Linked DNA regions of Drosophila melanogaster. The gene in region 1 interacts genetically with each later gene. Each region holds a gene or a part of one and is shown in the gene's direction. Other genes may lie near its edges.

The links.
Region 2: of rl (region 1) and csw, changing one suppresses a phenotype caused by changing the other (phenotypic suppression), as found in Drosophila melanogaster (3 studies listed by BioGRID).

Annotation. Positions count from the first base shown.
Region 1 is NT_033778.4:1,069,142-1,076,862, forward strand, and holds the start of rl (rolled), read left to right. Parts: upstream 1-2,833; 5' UTR 2,834-2,904; exon of another isoform or gene 2,905-3,109; 5' UTR 3,110-3,140; coding exon 3,141-3,298; intron 3,299-5,130; exon of another isoform or gene 5,131-5,200; coding exon of another isoform or gene 5,201-5,223; intron 5,224-7,493; coding exon 7,494-7,620; intron 7,621-7,674; exon of another isoform or gene 7,675-7,721. UniProt on the Drosophila melanogaster protein: Serine/threonine kinase which acts as an essential component of the MAP kinase signal transduction pathway to regulate proliferation, differentiation and effect cell fate decisions in various tissues.
Region 2 is NC_004354.4:2,100,666-2,106,310, forward strand, and holds the start of csw (corkscrew), read left to right. Parts: upstream 1-1,623; 5' UTR 1,624-2,481; coding exon 2,482-3,110; intron 3,111-5,645. UniProt on the Drosophila melanogaster protein: Required in all receptor tyrosine kinase signaling pathways. Functions downstream of the receptor tyrosine kinase torso, acting in concert with D-Raf via tailless.

The DNA of each region.
Region 1 (7,721 bases):
GCCAGCACTCTTAGCAGAGACATGACCTAACTAAGAGCCTGTTTAGAGTCGCCCTCGCCTGGAGAATGTAGTTGCACTTCCAGCAGTGTATCACAATTACGGCGCGTACCACCAGGTGGTTGATACCCTTGTGATACCTACTGGCATGGCATTCTAGAATCATATGGTTTGTAATGTAATTTTTTTCTTGCCTGGCAAGAAGAAGATAGCGATGTCGAAGGTATGGTCACACATAAGCGAATTAAAATTGGGCAATCGACTATTTGGAATTATTTTGATAAATCGGCTGATGGCAGTGGACTTTTTTCAAAAGTGTAGGCATGGCAGCTTTGTGCGGCGTTTGAGCGGTCGTGGCAACATGGGTCAACAAACTTGCGCTGCGTCTATTGGCATAAGTATAACTCTATGTCTCTCGAATCTGAACCTTCTAGCTTTAATAGTTCCCTTATATGGTCGGAAACGCTTCCTTCTGCCCGATACATACTTTTTAACGAGCCTAGTATACTAATACTAATATATATATAAGAAGCTAACTGACTATTGTGCGCTTGGGATATCACTTTTGATACTAATTCAGTGAGTATACATAGTTTTAATGCATACTTATCATTATTGGTTTTTATTCGCATTAACGTTTGCTAATAAATCCTAGTAATCCAGGCACATACATTTTTCAGAGTTCAAGTAAGCGAAAAAAACCTTCCAGACTTACAGCTGCTTTTTCATCTTCGTTTAACGCGATAAAGAATCCGGAACAGCGTTTAAAGTACCCTTACGATGTCCAATTTTAAAACGATATTTTTGAAATGTCAACGACCATCGAGCAAATCGTGAGCAACATCGGCGAGACATGATCAGTTAAAATCTCTGAAATTTCGCATAGCTGCTATCGCCACCAAACATTTCTGCTCAGTCACAGAACACACTAGTCGGCACTACACACACTGTTGGCAGTAAAATTTTAAAATGACTTAATATGATAATAATGATTATTTTTTATTTGTTGGGTGTAAGTAATATAAACATAAAAATTAACAAACGATATAGACAAGTTAATGTAATATGATTATTTTTTGTATTGGCATAAGTATTTTGACAAGCCTTTAATACCTAAATAAATAAGTTTAAGTGAAGCTGCAGCTTTTTTTAACGAGTTATTCTCGAAAGAACTTACATCTGTCCATAAAACACTTTTCCAGAACGAAATTAGTGAACCGGGGTTAGAGTTTTCTTAAAAGTTTGCATCTCTATATTCCAAAGCGTTTGAAACTAACAAACACAAACTGTAATTTACAAAGTTAAGTTAAGAAATTCGACAGGGACAGATGATCAACCGAAGTTGGACGCTTACTGTGTTCCTCCATATAATTTTACCTCACCATTACTTAATTTAAGAATGTCTTCATTTTTGAAAATAATTGTGTCCAAGGGTAAACCAAAGTTCTTAAGCATTGTTTTCCCTGACAATTAAAATTGAACAAAAGAAAAATGATAAAGGAAATTAAAGTTGAAATTTTTAAAGTAAAGATATATTTGAATTTATTTATGAGTCTTAATAAGTTCTTTCTGTGCTCTCTAAGTCCATTCACGTTGGACCCACTTCTTCTTTAATAGATAATACAAATGAATTATATCAAAATCACTGGTTCCTGCGCAACTTATTGCGCCAACAACGGCAACGACTGACGTCTGGACTGCGGCAGCGCCGACCAAACACAAGTTTTGCAGTCTGACGGCTGTTAAACAAAATCCCAAAACTCCATACACAAACTAAACTAAACTATATACTAAAACTAGACATCAACTGAGTTGGGCATTTTAAACAATGTGCTAGCTTTGCAGTCGCTCTTTGCGGTGCTACACTTGTACCCGCTCCGTCATGCGAGTTAAACTGAAATGTATTCTAAGAATGAAATAAATTGTTAATAAGGAAAAGGTCATGTTATAAAATAAACCTACATTAATTAAAAAAATTAAACCTACACTTATACCTAAAACCATGGTATTTCATTAATTCATAAAATAAATAGCTGTCATAGACATATTTTTCACGATTTCTGTAAACTTATATACTTGGCGTACGTAGCATTTACTTCGGATATCACCTTAAGAGTAACAAATATATTTAAGTACATTCGGATTTTTTAATGTAAAAATATAAAGTTTTTGACATCTGATAGTATTTTGTTTAAAAAGAATGTTCGATCATCAATCATCCTCCGTTGCAACACTGCTGAATTTTCTGTAGTGGGCAAACTACATTTAGTTAGCTGTACATTTGTATATGCTTCTGAGTAGTGAGCTGTTAAGAAATTTTATTATAATATAATAAAAAAGCAATTAAAGGATTTGTTTTCTCTTAATTAAACATTTAATTTCTGCTTTCGTGTTAATATGTATATTCTACATTGGTTTGTAGTCACGTCTTAATGGTGGGAACAGTACTTTTAGTTCCGTTTACGCTGAATTTACATCTGTTAGGTCACACAGCAGAAGATGGCACATGCCTGCTTTCTTGTTTTATTTTAATGGGCAATAATAGCTTAAATTAGGAATATAACACTAAGTCAAAAGGTTTTTATTTCTGCGCTCCCATTGAAAAATGTCCAAAAATATATTTAACCCAACATCAGGTTAATATGTGATGATCAATTTCCTCCTTTAATACCAATTTTTAAATAAAAAAATGTCTTACGCAATGACTGATCATTTTTAAATTATTATATTATTTAATATTAATTGTGGAAATTGTGGCTGCCAAAAGACTGATGTACCTTTTGGGATCCGATTATAATTGGATCGGATAAACATTGACCAGTGTCGTTATCTTAACATATTATTAATGTTTTACGCCGTCGATTTTGATAAATCATATTTACGCATTTGTCTAAAGAGTAAAAAAAAGTTGAGTTTATATATTCATATCTTAAGTTATAGACTTTTGGTTAAATTCATAATAAAGTAAATAAAGATTTTGCACTTATTGCTGTTCACTTAAATAAGATAAAGTGGGACATATTCAGTTGTAAAAGTGTTATTACAATCCACGCATACATACATTGCGAATTTTGCAGATACGGTGTATTTTGTATCATAACATCTTTAGTAGTATTTCAAGTTTTCCAGAAGAAACGTTAGTCATGGAGGAATTTAATTCGAGCGGATCAGTAGTTAATGGTACAGGATCTACGGAAGTTCCTCAATCTAATGCTGAAGTTATAAGGGGACAAATATTTGAAGTTGGTCCTAGGTATATTAAACTCGCCTATATAGGTGAAGGAGCTTATGGCATGGTTGTGTAAGTACCTAATACCTATTTTTATTTTTGAAGCCGTTTTTAATCTACAGTGTTTGCACACCTCTTTCTTGTTGTTCCTTTGTCCATTATTCATAGTTTTTTTTTTATCTTGCGGTTCTCCTTCCGAAATGCAGTAATACTCAGAACCGTGTTCTCTTGATTTTATATCAAGTAATACATTTTGTTCAAGTCCTTTGCTGTAAGTTCGCATACATGGTATTGCTGAATCAATGTTATTTTTCGAAAATGCATTAAATTTATTCACATCAATCATACGCAGTACTAAGCTGTGAAACACTTAACAACGAAATAGTTTCTCAAATTTTTGATTTCTTTCTTTTTCTCTAAACGTGGCTTAGTTTTGCTTTTTCTTTGACAAAATCAATCTTTAAGGGTCGACACAACCGAGTTTGTTTTCATGCAAAAGCCTAAATTGGCCGATGGACTTTATAAATAAAGGAAAGTCAATAGCTTCTGAGTCATATTGCTTGCTTTTAAACGCTGCGCACAAAACTTTCGTTTACCGGTCGATCGGTTGTTCAACGCAATACAATTTCTCGCTAAACTTGGATTTGCTTGTTAAAGTACTCTTTTACTCGGTGCCTTTATACCTTTTTCTAATGCTTTTGGACATAATTAGGGATTATTCATTCATTCATTAAAAGTAAATTTGGAACCTACATTTTCAAAAATAAAAAATCAACACATTTTTTAAAAGTTGCAGTTGCAGTTTTGGGCGGAGAGTGGGCATGGCAACATTTCATTTTTCAGTATTTAAAAATAAAAAATATTTAGTTGAATTATTTTGTTATATTCTTATAAAATATTTAAAAAGCGGACATTTTGTTTTTTTTTTTAGTTTCTTTTAATTTTAAATTATAGTTTTATGTTTTTTGATTAGGTTGGAGTTTTGAGGTGGGTAGCAAATGGGGTTGATTGACTGAAGAGAGCATATTTTGGGGAGGGGTCAGTTCATGTAGTGGGCATTGGTAAGGTTGGTGTGTCCAAGCCTGAGCCTTTTTATTAGGATTTGTGTTTTCTTATTGTGTTATGTAGTGTTGTAGCTTGAAGGATGAGCTCATACCAGGGAAAATTGAGAAAAGTCGTCACAGTTGTAATTTGAGGAGTGTACAAGGGCGTATCTGTGGGCATCTTTAGCTGTTTTGTCGGCGTATTCGTTGGCGGATATGCCGATGTGAGTGGGCATCCATATAAGTTAAATAATTGGGAAGTGGTTGGTGAGAGGGTTTCTTATTGTGGATAGATATTATGAGATGTTGATTGGTATTGGTATTGGTGAGGAAATTTAGGGCGGACAGGAATTCGAAGCCCGGCGGCTAAATTTAATTTTGCTGGCGTTGCTTGTTACGCTATAGCTTATTATTTAATTGGATATCGAGCCATATGTGTGGCTGCATAGTTGCAAACCAATGTATGGCCGTTACGCATCTTGTTATTCTAGTGTCTTTGATATAACATTGGTTGCTGATTTTAGTGTTCTTCTGGACCTTAAACTAAAGTTTTTCAGATCATATTTCGACTATTGTCAATAAGGCAGGGGTGTGCTTGGTTTAATAAAAAGGAGGTCAAAGGAATTAAATGATCATTACAGCACCAAAACCTTATTCATTTCGCTAGTCCGTTCGATTCTTGAGTATACGTACCTCAATCGGATCGCATTGAATCGGTCCAAAAAAGTTCTTCTTTTAAGTTTATAGCTATTTGGCTGTACAAAGGAATACTTAAATATATTCCTTATTTGTCGCTGTTCTGCTATAAAAAATCGGAATTCACCACCATATCCTATTATTTGTTCTAATTTATTTTAACAGAATGTGCATAAATCCTTAATGACGAACATTTCTTGGACCTAATCCATCTTGGGACTGTTGGAGAACATCTATGGAGTCTGCCTTAGTTATTAGGTCTTCCATAGCGATATCATTCCTAATTATTTTACATGCGTATTTTACTAGATTCGTTGAAATGTATGTGACAGGCAGAAGAAAGCGTTTCCGACCACATAAAGTATATATATTCTTTATCAGGATTAATATCACACCAATTGTTTTCTTTGCAATTTTTTTTGCCTTTCTTTTCTTTCTTATCTTTGTTTTCCACACCAGAGTTATTTGTAATTTCTTTAACTACATAGCACAAAAGTTATTACTCTTTGCATGCCACTTAAATTATGAGTGATTTTGTAAATAATTCCTACTAAGCCCTAAAAATTGTCCCAGGGTCCTGTTTAACGAAATTCATTTCTGCGACGACGTTGTATTATTATAAATGTTTATTTTAAAATAATATTTCGCGAAATATGTGAGTGTAATATTAAACTTAAATGAGTTTACAAAAGTTTGTGGTGGTTCCCTGTGTTGATCTCAACACCGACTGGACACATTAATTGTATTGATCTCCATGCTCTCTTTTTTCACGCTCTCTTGTGGCGTTATTAATAACATGGTTTACTATACATTCATTTACTATATTCATTAAGCGTTTCAAATCATAATGTATTTCTAATGAACCCGCTGCTTCTTTTTTTTTCTTGTCCACTTTCTTATAGCAATCCAAGGCTTTCGCCTGTTGAAAATTTGTTCCAATGCTTATTAGTTCATATATGCTAAAAATCAAACTACTAAATCATATAGCAGAACATAAAGTTATTATATTATAGATGTTTTTATTCAAATAGTGTTCTAATTCGGTAAGCTACAGCATTTTGATAATATTTAACTTTATTTTTGCTTCGATAAAAATTGGACGGTAACATAGCTCAAAGAAGCTGGGGTCGGAAAAATCGAATTTTTAAAATTTGAAAGCTGGAATCGTTTGCCCATTTTTGCCCATGTTTGCCCACCAATTAGTTTTTTTGCCCACGTCCAGTTTTTGAGATATAAATTTTCGAAAAAGTTCGAAAATGTTCGAAAATCAAAAATTTCGTTTTTTTCAAATTTTTTTTTTAAATCGCAATAACATCGTTTGACCACGTTTGCCCACCCTTTAGAATTTTGAAAAAATGTATACTTTAGAAAATATAAGGCTTTTAAGTTTACCTCGGTCTAATCAGAGAGTAAATCGTTTGCCCATCTCTTAAAACCAAATATTATCAACAAAAAACGTTTGCCCAACCATTATTATTAGTTTTTATCGTTTGCCCACCCTTTAAAAAACCTTTAACAAAAATTTTTTTCGATTGCCCACATTTAAAATACACCCAATTTCGTTAGCCCACCTCTTTAAAATAAAAATTTCCAATAAAAAACGTTTGCCCACCATTTAAAAATAAATAATTTCGATTGCCCACCTTTTAAAACTAAATAATTTCGTTTGCCCATCCTTTGAAATTCATTTTTAACGTTTGCCCACCCTTTAAAAATAAATTATTTCGTTTGCCCACCCTTTAAAATTTGTTTTTTTCGTTTGCCCACTCTTAAAACTAAATAATTTCGATTGCCCACCTTTTAAAACTAAATAATTTCGTTTGCCCATCCTTTAAAATTCATTTTTAACGTTTGCCCACCCTTTAAAAATAAATTATTTCGTTTGCCCACCCTTTAAAATTTGTTTTTTTCGTTTGCCAATCGAAATTGGGCAATCGAAAAAAAATTTTTTGTTAAAGGTTTTTTAAAGGGTGGGCAAACGATAAAAACTAATAATAATGGTTGGGCAAACGTTTTTTGTTGATAATATTTGGTTTTAAGAGATGGGCAAACGATTTACTCTCTGATTAGACAGAGGTAAACTTAAAAGCCTTATATTTTCTAAAGTATAAATTTTTTCAAAATTCTAAAGGGTGGGCAAACGATGTTATTGCGATTTAAAAAAAAAAATTTGAAAAAAGCGAAATTTTTGATTTTCGAAAATTTTCGAACTTTTTCGAAAATTCATATCCCAAAAACTGGACGTGGGCAAAAAAAACTAATTGGTGGGCAAACATGGGCAAACGATTCCAGCTTTCAAATTTCAAAAATTCGATTTTTCCGACCCCAGCTTCTTTGCGCTCGGTAACATCCATACAGCCGCAGTAATTTAAAAAAAATCATAGTTTTGTTGTTTTTGATCATAAAAGGTTCTTATTCTATTGTTGCGCAGAAATGTTCGAATACCGAATCGTGTATTACATTTTTGTCTTGAAATATTTTAAAATAGCGAAAAAACTTGTAAAAAAAATTTTCATTTTTCATTTCAGGTCTGCGGATGACACGCTAACAAACCAAAGAGTTGCAATAAAAAAAATATCGCCCTTTGAACACCAAACTTATTGTCAAAGGACTCTCAGAGAAATAACCATATTGACCAGATTTAAACATGAAAACGTAAATACATACTCAAATAAAAATTATAAGATTAAAATAGGTTTATCTTACCAGATTAACTTACAAAACTGCGTTAAAAATGTATCTATACCCGTGAAACA
Region 2 (5,645 bases), on another chromosome or scaffold:
GTGCCCAAATGCGGTCTGGGTCTCCAGCAACGAAATCGGGATAGCCAAGGTCGCGGAGCTCAGGAATGGAGCACTGGGGATACTGGGACTGGGCTGTCGCTCTGGCAACTGGTACCGATCAAGTTTATTTCTGGGTAGGGCGGCACTCACGGCACTCACTACTTCGCCGGAACTTTTAGTAATTCCATACGTAATGTAAACACGTTGGGTAGGCTATTGGTCAATGCCACTTCTAAATTGCGTTACCCGATCATTTCTAAGAACTTAAACTTGCGAATGGCCAATGTTGGCCTCGCTCTTAATTCTGTATCGATAGCAATCAGGTAGCTCAAATCATCTCTACTCACTTTTAATGCACTTCTCGTCTTGCATTTGCCATTGCAATGACTAATATTCTTAACCGACACCTAACTGCGCCCAGAAGCCCCATGTGGTTTCCACGGATCTGGTCCACCTGGCCTGGAACATCCTGTTTGCATTGATGCATGCATGCATAGCTACATGGGGTTTCCCCGACTGGTTTGAGCTGAGCATTTTCAATTTTGATCGAACACTTCGGAGACAATTTCCATTGAGTGGATTTTGAATGTGGTTTGGGTAACAAGTTCTAGTTGGTTTCCAGCGAAAAAACAATGACGAAATGTTGGAAAAAAAAAAAATAGTTCGTCATCGTTGGGAGGCATGAATACGAGGCTGGAAGTAAAGTGTTGCTAGATCGCAGTTCGCAGGCTGTCGCACGTCGAACGATTTTGTTTTGCTGGCCAAAAAAAAAAAAAAGATATTCTGCGCACGTTCGCACCTCTGACGTCTGCGCCTGCGCTGTAAGAGAGCTTTGGCACTGCTCGCTTCTAGCTCCCACTTACCCAACTACCAACCTGCCCACCTGCCCACCAACCCACCTGCCCCCCAGCAAACCCAGTTCCTTGCCTAGATGGCCGCCACAGTAGTTGCTGTGCGGCTTCAGTTTCATTTCCGGTGGCAGGCAACGGACGGCGCTAAAAGCGCTTTTTGTATTTGCTTTCTTACAAGCCAACAACACACTCATATCACGAAATGACCATTTTCGGATTGGAATTAATCTTATGTGCCTGCTTTTCGAAATGTGTATGATTCGGATTCTGATTGCGATGAACTCCATGACTCATCCAGGAGTACAGTCATTACGAAATAAACATAGAGTGGAGCCCGCTATACATATTTATAGGTATTAGCCTGGCTCTAGCACTTAATTGAAAGTAAATGAAAAGTAAAAGTGTAATTTTTTACAATGTTGATTGCAATTCAAAGTGCTTTCGCTTTCTGAATAAACCGTAAGTGGCGTCCACAGGATGGCTACAATTAAGTGGCGCCCGCTGAGGGGCCCAAGCAGTTTGATGATACTGAAACAGGAGCCCAGGGGAAAGCTGTGCACACACCCACTGCCAATCAATTTCAAAGTTACGTCTTTCGCTCCGTTTTATTTACTGTGTTTTTTTTTGTATTTGTTTGTGACTTCTGGCTCGCTGACAGTAAATAAAGCCCATAAATAAAAACACCCACCCACGAGATCGACAGGAAGGGCTAACCAGAGCGCCGGCTGGATTTAAAAACAAAAAGCGCCGTCCGCAGCCAGTCAAGATTCAGATTCATTCATACCCCAGCGCTTAGAACACCACCAGGCCACAGCTCCCGTCCGAGAGATATAGCCACTAAGAGAGAGCGGAAGAATCGAATCGCAAAGAGAGGAGCCGCGCTGAGACAACGTCAAGAATCCGATTTCGATTCCGATTGCGATTTCGAATCCGAGGCAAAAAGCTTCAGACTCGGCAGCAGGCGCTTCATTCTCGAGTTGTGATCCAACGGGTTAGCAGCTCAGCTCGCAAGCAGTCGCCGTTCGTCGTCGAGCGGCAAGCAGTTCGTTTCATTTCTACTGGGCGCCAGTACAAGTTCCATCGAGTGTTTTTGTTATTCGAAGGCAAAGCGCGAAAATTATGCCTTCAGCCACATTTGTCCTGGAGCATTTGATGGCGGCACAATCGCGACTCGACGAGCAGGCCGCATCCCCAGCAGAGGTCAAACCCACCAGCACCATCAACAGCAGCAGCACCACCGTGGCCAAGGCCATCAATGTCAAGTCGTACGAAAAGAAGCTGTTGCTGGCTCTCAAGAAGATTGTGCAATAATAAACGAATGCGGGGTAAACAGCACTCTATTTGACAAACTGTAGACATTTCCCCTAATCGAGCTGACTAAGATCAATAAAAAGCAAACAGAGAAGCACAACAAACAGCGGCAAAAAACAAAAACCAAGAATTCTAGTTTTTGTGCTTTCAGTGTGTGTTCGTGTGTGTGGGCAAGTTGTTACATAAAACAAAAACAATAACAAAATAAAAAAAAAATAATAAAAAAACACCCCAGCCGAGACGCATTTTTCCGCAGTGGAATACTACTATCTAAGCTTCTTTTTGTTTTGGTGTGTGCGAGAAAACGAGTGTGAAGAAAATGCTGTTCAACAAATGTCTGGAAAAGTTGTCCAGCTCGCTGGGCAATGTGGTCAATCACAAGCTGCAAGAGAAACAAGTCTACAACAACAACAATATCAACAATAACAATAACAATACGCTAAACAACAACAATGCCTACAACAATCAGCGAAACTTTGAGTACGAAAGAGCCATACAGGCGCACTACGGAAGCAAGGGAAGACGCTCGGAGGAGCGCGAAAGGAGCGGCAAGTTCAAGGCCAGCAAGGGTCGGAAAGCAAAGGTCACCCCACCAACGGAGACACCCGAGGCCCAGGAGCCGGCCTGCAAGAACTGTATGACCCACGACGAGCTGGCCCAGATCATAAAGGGCGTGGCCAAGGGCGCTGACGCGCAACGTAATCGAGACAACCGACTGCAGCGCAGACGTCGTCCTCTCTCCGCCCAACCCTCCGCCGCTGCCTCCGCCTCCACATCGACGGAATCTCTGCACCGTCTTACACCCAGCCCGCAGGCTTCCTACCCGGCCACGCCCACCTCCTGGACAGCCACACCGCCCCAGTTCCCAGCCGCCTTCGGCGGCGCCAGCTGCTCCAACAGCACACTGTCCCTCTTGGCCACCATGCGCGTCCAGCTCCATGGTTACACGTAAGTTCAGGTCGCCCAAAAAAAACGACAGCAGTCCAGTCCAGAGTGTTAGAAAAAGAGCAGCGTTCTGCTAATTTGGGGCGCGTGCGAAATTAGGCACTAATTGTTATTGGAGTGCGAGTAATGAAGTTGTCAGGCTGCCAACTAAACGATACCCCGTAGCAGGTGAAATGGTATTTTGAGCTACCATCGCATCGTAGTATGTCGCCCCGCCTGTCAGTCACATGTCGCGGAGTAGCAGATGATTCGCGGGAAATCTGGAGACAATCTGCTGCCCATCAACATTAACCCTAATAAGGCAGGCAATCACAGGCAGTTGACGCCGCAACAAAGCAAAAAAAAAAAAAAATCAGCGCAGCACATACTGTCATGTGTTCAGAATTGCCACGCAAAATGAGTAAATATTTACGCAAAGCATTCGACTCGAAAACAAGCAATCGTAAATTGACGTTCTAATATGAATGAATTTCCGACTGTCAAATGCCGAAGTGAAGTGAAGGGAGTGGAATGGCAAATGGCAGGGGGCCCAGCTCAGATCGCCACTCAAATATGGTCACATATCAACATATCAACCCCCCCCACACAATTGGCCCGTTGTCAAGTTGTGTTTCGATATTGGTTCTTTCATTTAGAGCTGAAGATTGAGTTATTGGTTAGGCACTGGCTAAATTACGCACTTGTAGAACCGGGAGAGTTCGGCGAATTGCCCACTGCAGACATCGTATCTTGGCCCACTGCCAGATCGGAATTATCTCTTCACTCGCGCCCGGAATGTTTACCCATGTCCCGCTGTTGCGCTGTCCGTCGTCCACATTCCCCAAAGATTCCATCCCACTCCGTGTCTGATCTTGGTGTTTATCTGCCCGGCTGTGCCATGTGCCGTCCGATTGTTTGTGTGGGCTGGCCCCATCTTGGCGATCTCGATTCGCACAGTACACCCAGAAAACAATCGCATATGTATCTGCTGGACTATTATTATGTCCCATAAATTATCTTTGACTTTTAGTTGAGCTCGGATTGGTAGTGCAGTCGGTTTCGGTTGTTGCTTATTTATTTATTTTGATTTTTATCGCAACGGATTCATAATCGCTGAACGTGTTGATTGGCTCGTTAACTTGATCTTTGTTTTTCTAATTTATGCTCAGCTTTTATAGGTATCCTGCTTTAGGGCGATCTTTTCGTCGTTATCCTAAAACGCACATCATGCCAAATGATCTGAAGATGATGTGCCAATAGCTTTGACAGCTTAAGCTGCGTGATTTCCGGATTTCACTTGTCACACTCACTAGGTCAACAATGGGGCACCGCCGTCCTCTGCCCTCCGCCTTGTAGAACTATTAACCTTCCGATGGTTTTTCTTCTCGCCATAAGGCTGATTAACGATTTATGAAATTACATTTCCCGTAATGGATTTCGAGCGCTGCCTTCTGTTTTGCATATTTCCGTTTATTTGTCCGTTGCACAACCGTGAGCTGTGGCTACTGATCAAATAAAAGCGTTTAATTTGTGCAAATTCATAACGTCGGCCGACTACAAGATGCTCTCAGTGGAAAGGCCCAATTATGGGGGGGAGGGCTTTGTTCTGGGGTTGTAACTCCATGGAAATTTTACAATTCTATCCCAGACTCTCCCCAACTAGTACTTTTCCCCGTCCAGTTCTCCAACTTGACATATCGTTTATATGCTTATTTTAACAGTTTGAACTGTTCAAAAAATATTATGTTTTGAATAGACTGTACTACTACTTCACACACTGCTTGCGAGTGGGCGGTTAGGGTAGGGGCAAGCAGCTCATTCGATAATTCAATAAGTATCTTGCCGACTTTTGAGTTAATTAATTGAAGGCCTCGTTCCCCTGCTTCCGCGCTCCACCTCGTAACCCCAATACCAGTCGTTTCGCTGCCGCCTTTCCAGGTGCGTTGCCACACGAAAAGCAAAATAAACCTGTGACAAACGAAACGACTAAAACACTGAGGGGGGGATTTGTATATGTATTCGGATATTGTGTACGAATACGCTGCACATATTCGTGTGTGCATGTAAATCTGTTTGTTGACCTTAGCGGCGCTTTCATGAATGGCGCGCAGCTTCCTCCGTATGGTAAATACAAATACGCCACATTCGCATTCGCTGCTGTAAGTGTAACTGTAAATGATGCAAAAAGGTGCAAAATTTTCACTGACGTACTCGGGTGATGGTAATTCCATCTGCTTGTATTTTTAACCCCCAGTCTGCCCGATTTAAATCGCTGAGTGAGAGCGCAACAGAAGTAATTTGTGTTGCTTTGTATTATCGTCACAGTGCTAAATTTAAAGATAAACACCGAAATATGGGTGGAGACGGAGACACAGTTTGGCAGCACCGCAGTTCGGCAGAATGACACAAAGGATATCAGCGATATGATCGATGTGGGCTGCGATAATTGCTAAGTTCAACTCGATTGCACGGGGTCAGACGGCAGAGGGCGATGCGTCCACGAATCCGAATCATTTTAACTACGGCGATCGCAAACAAGCGATCGGCCAACAATACGCA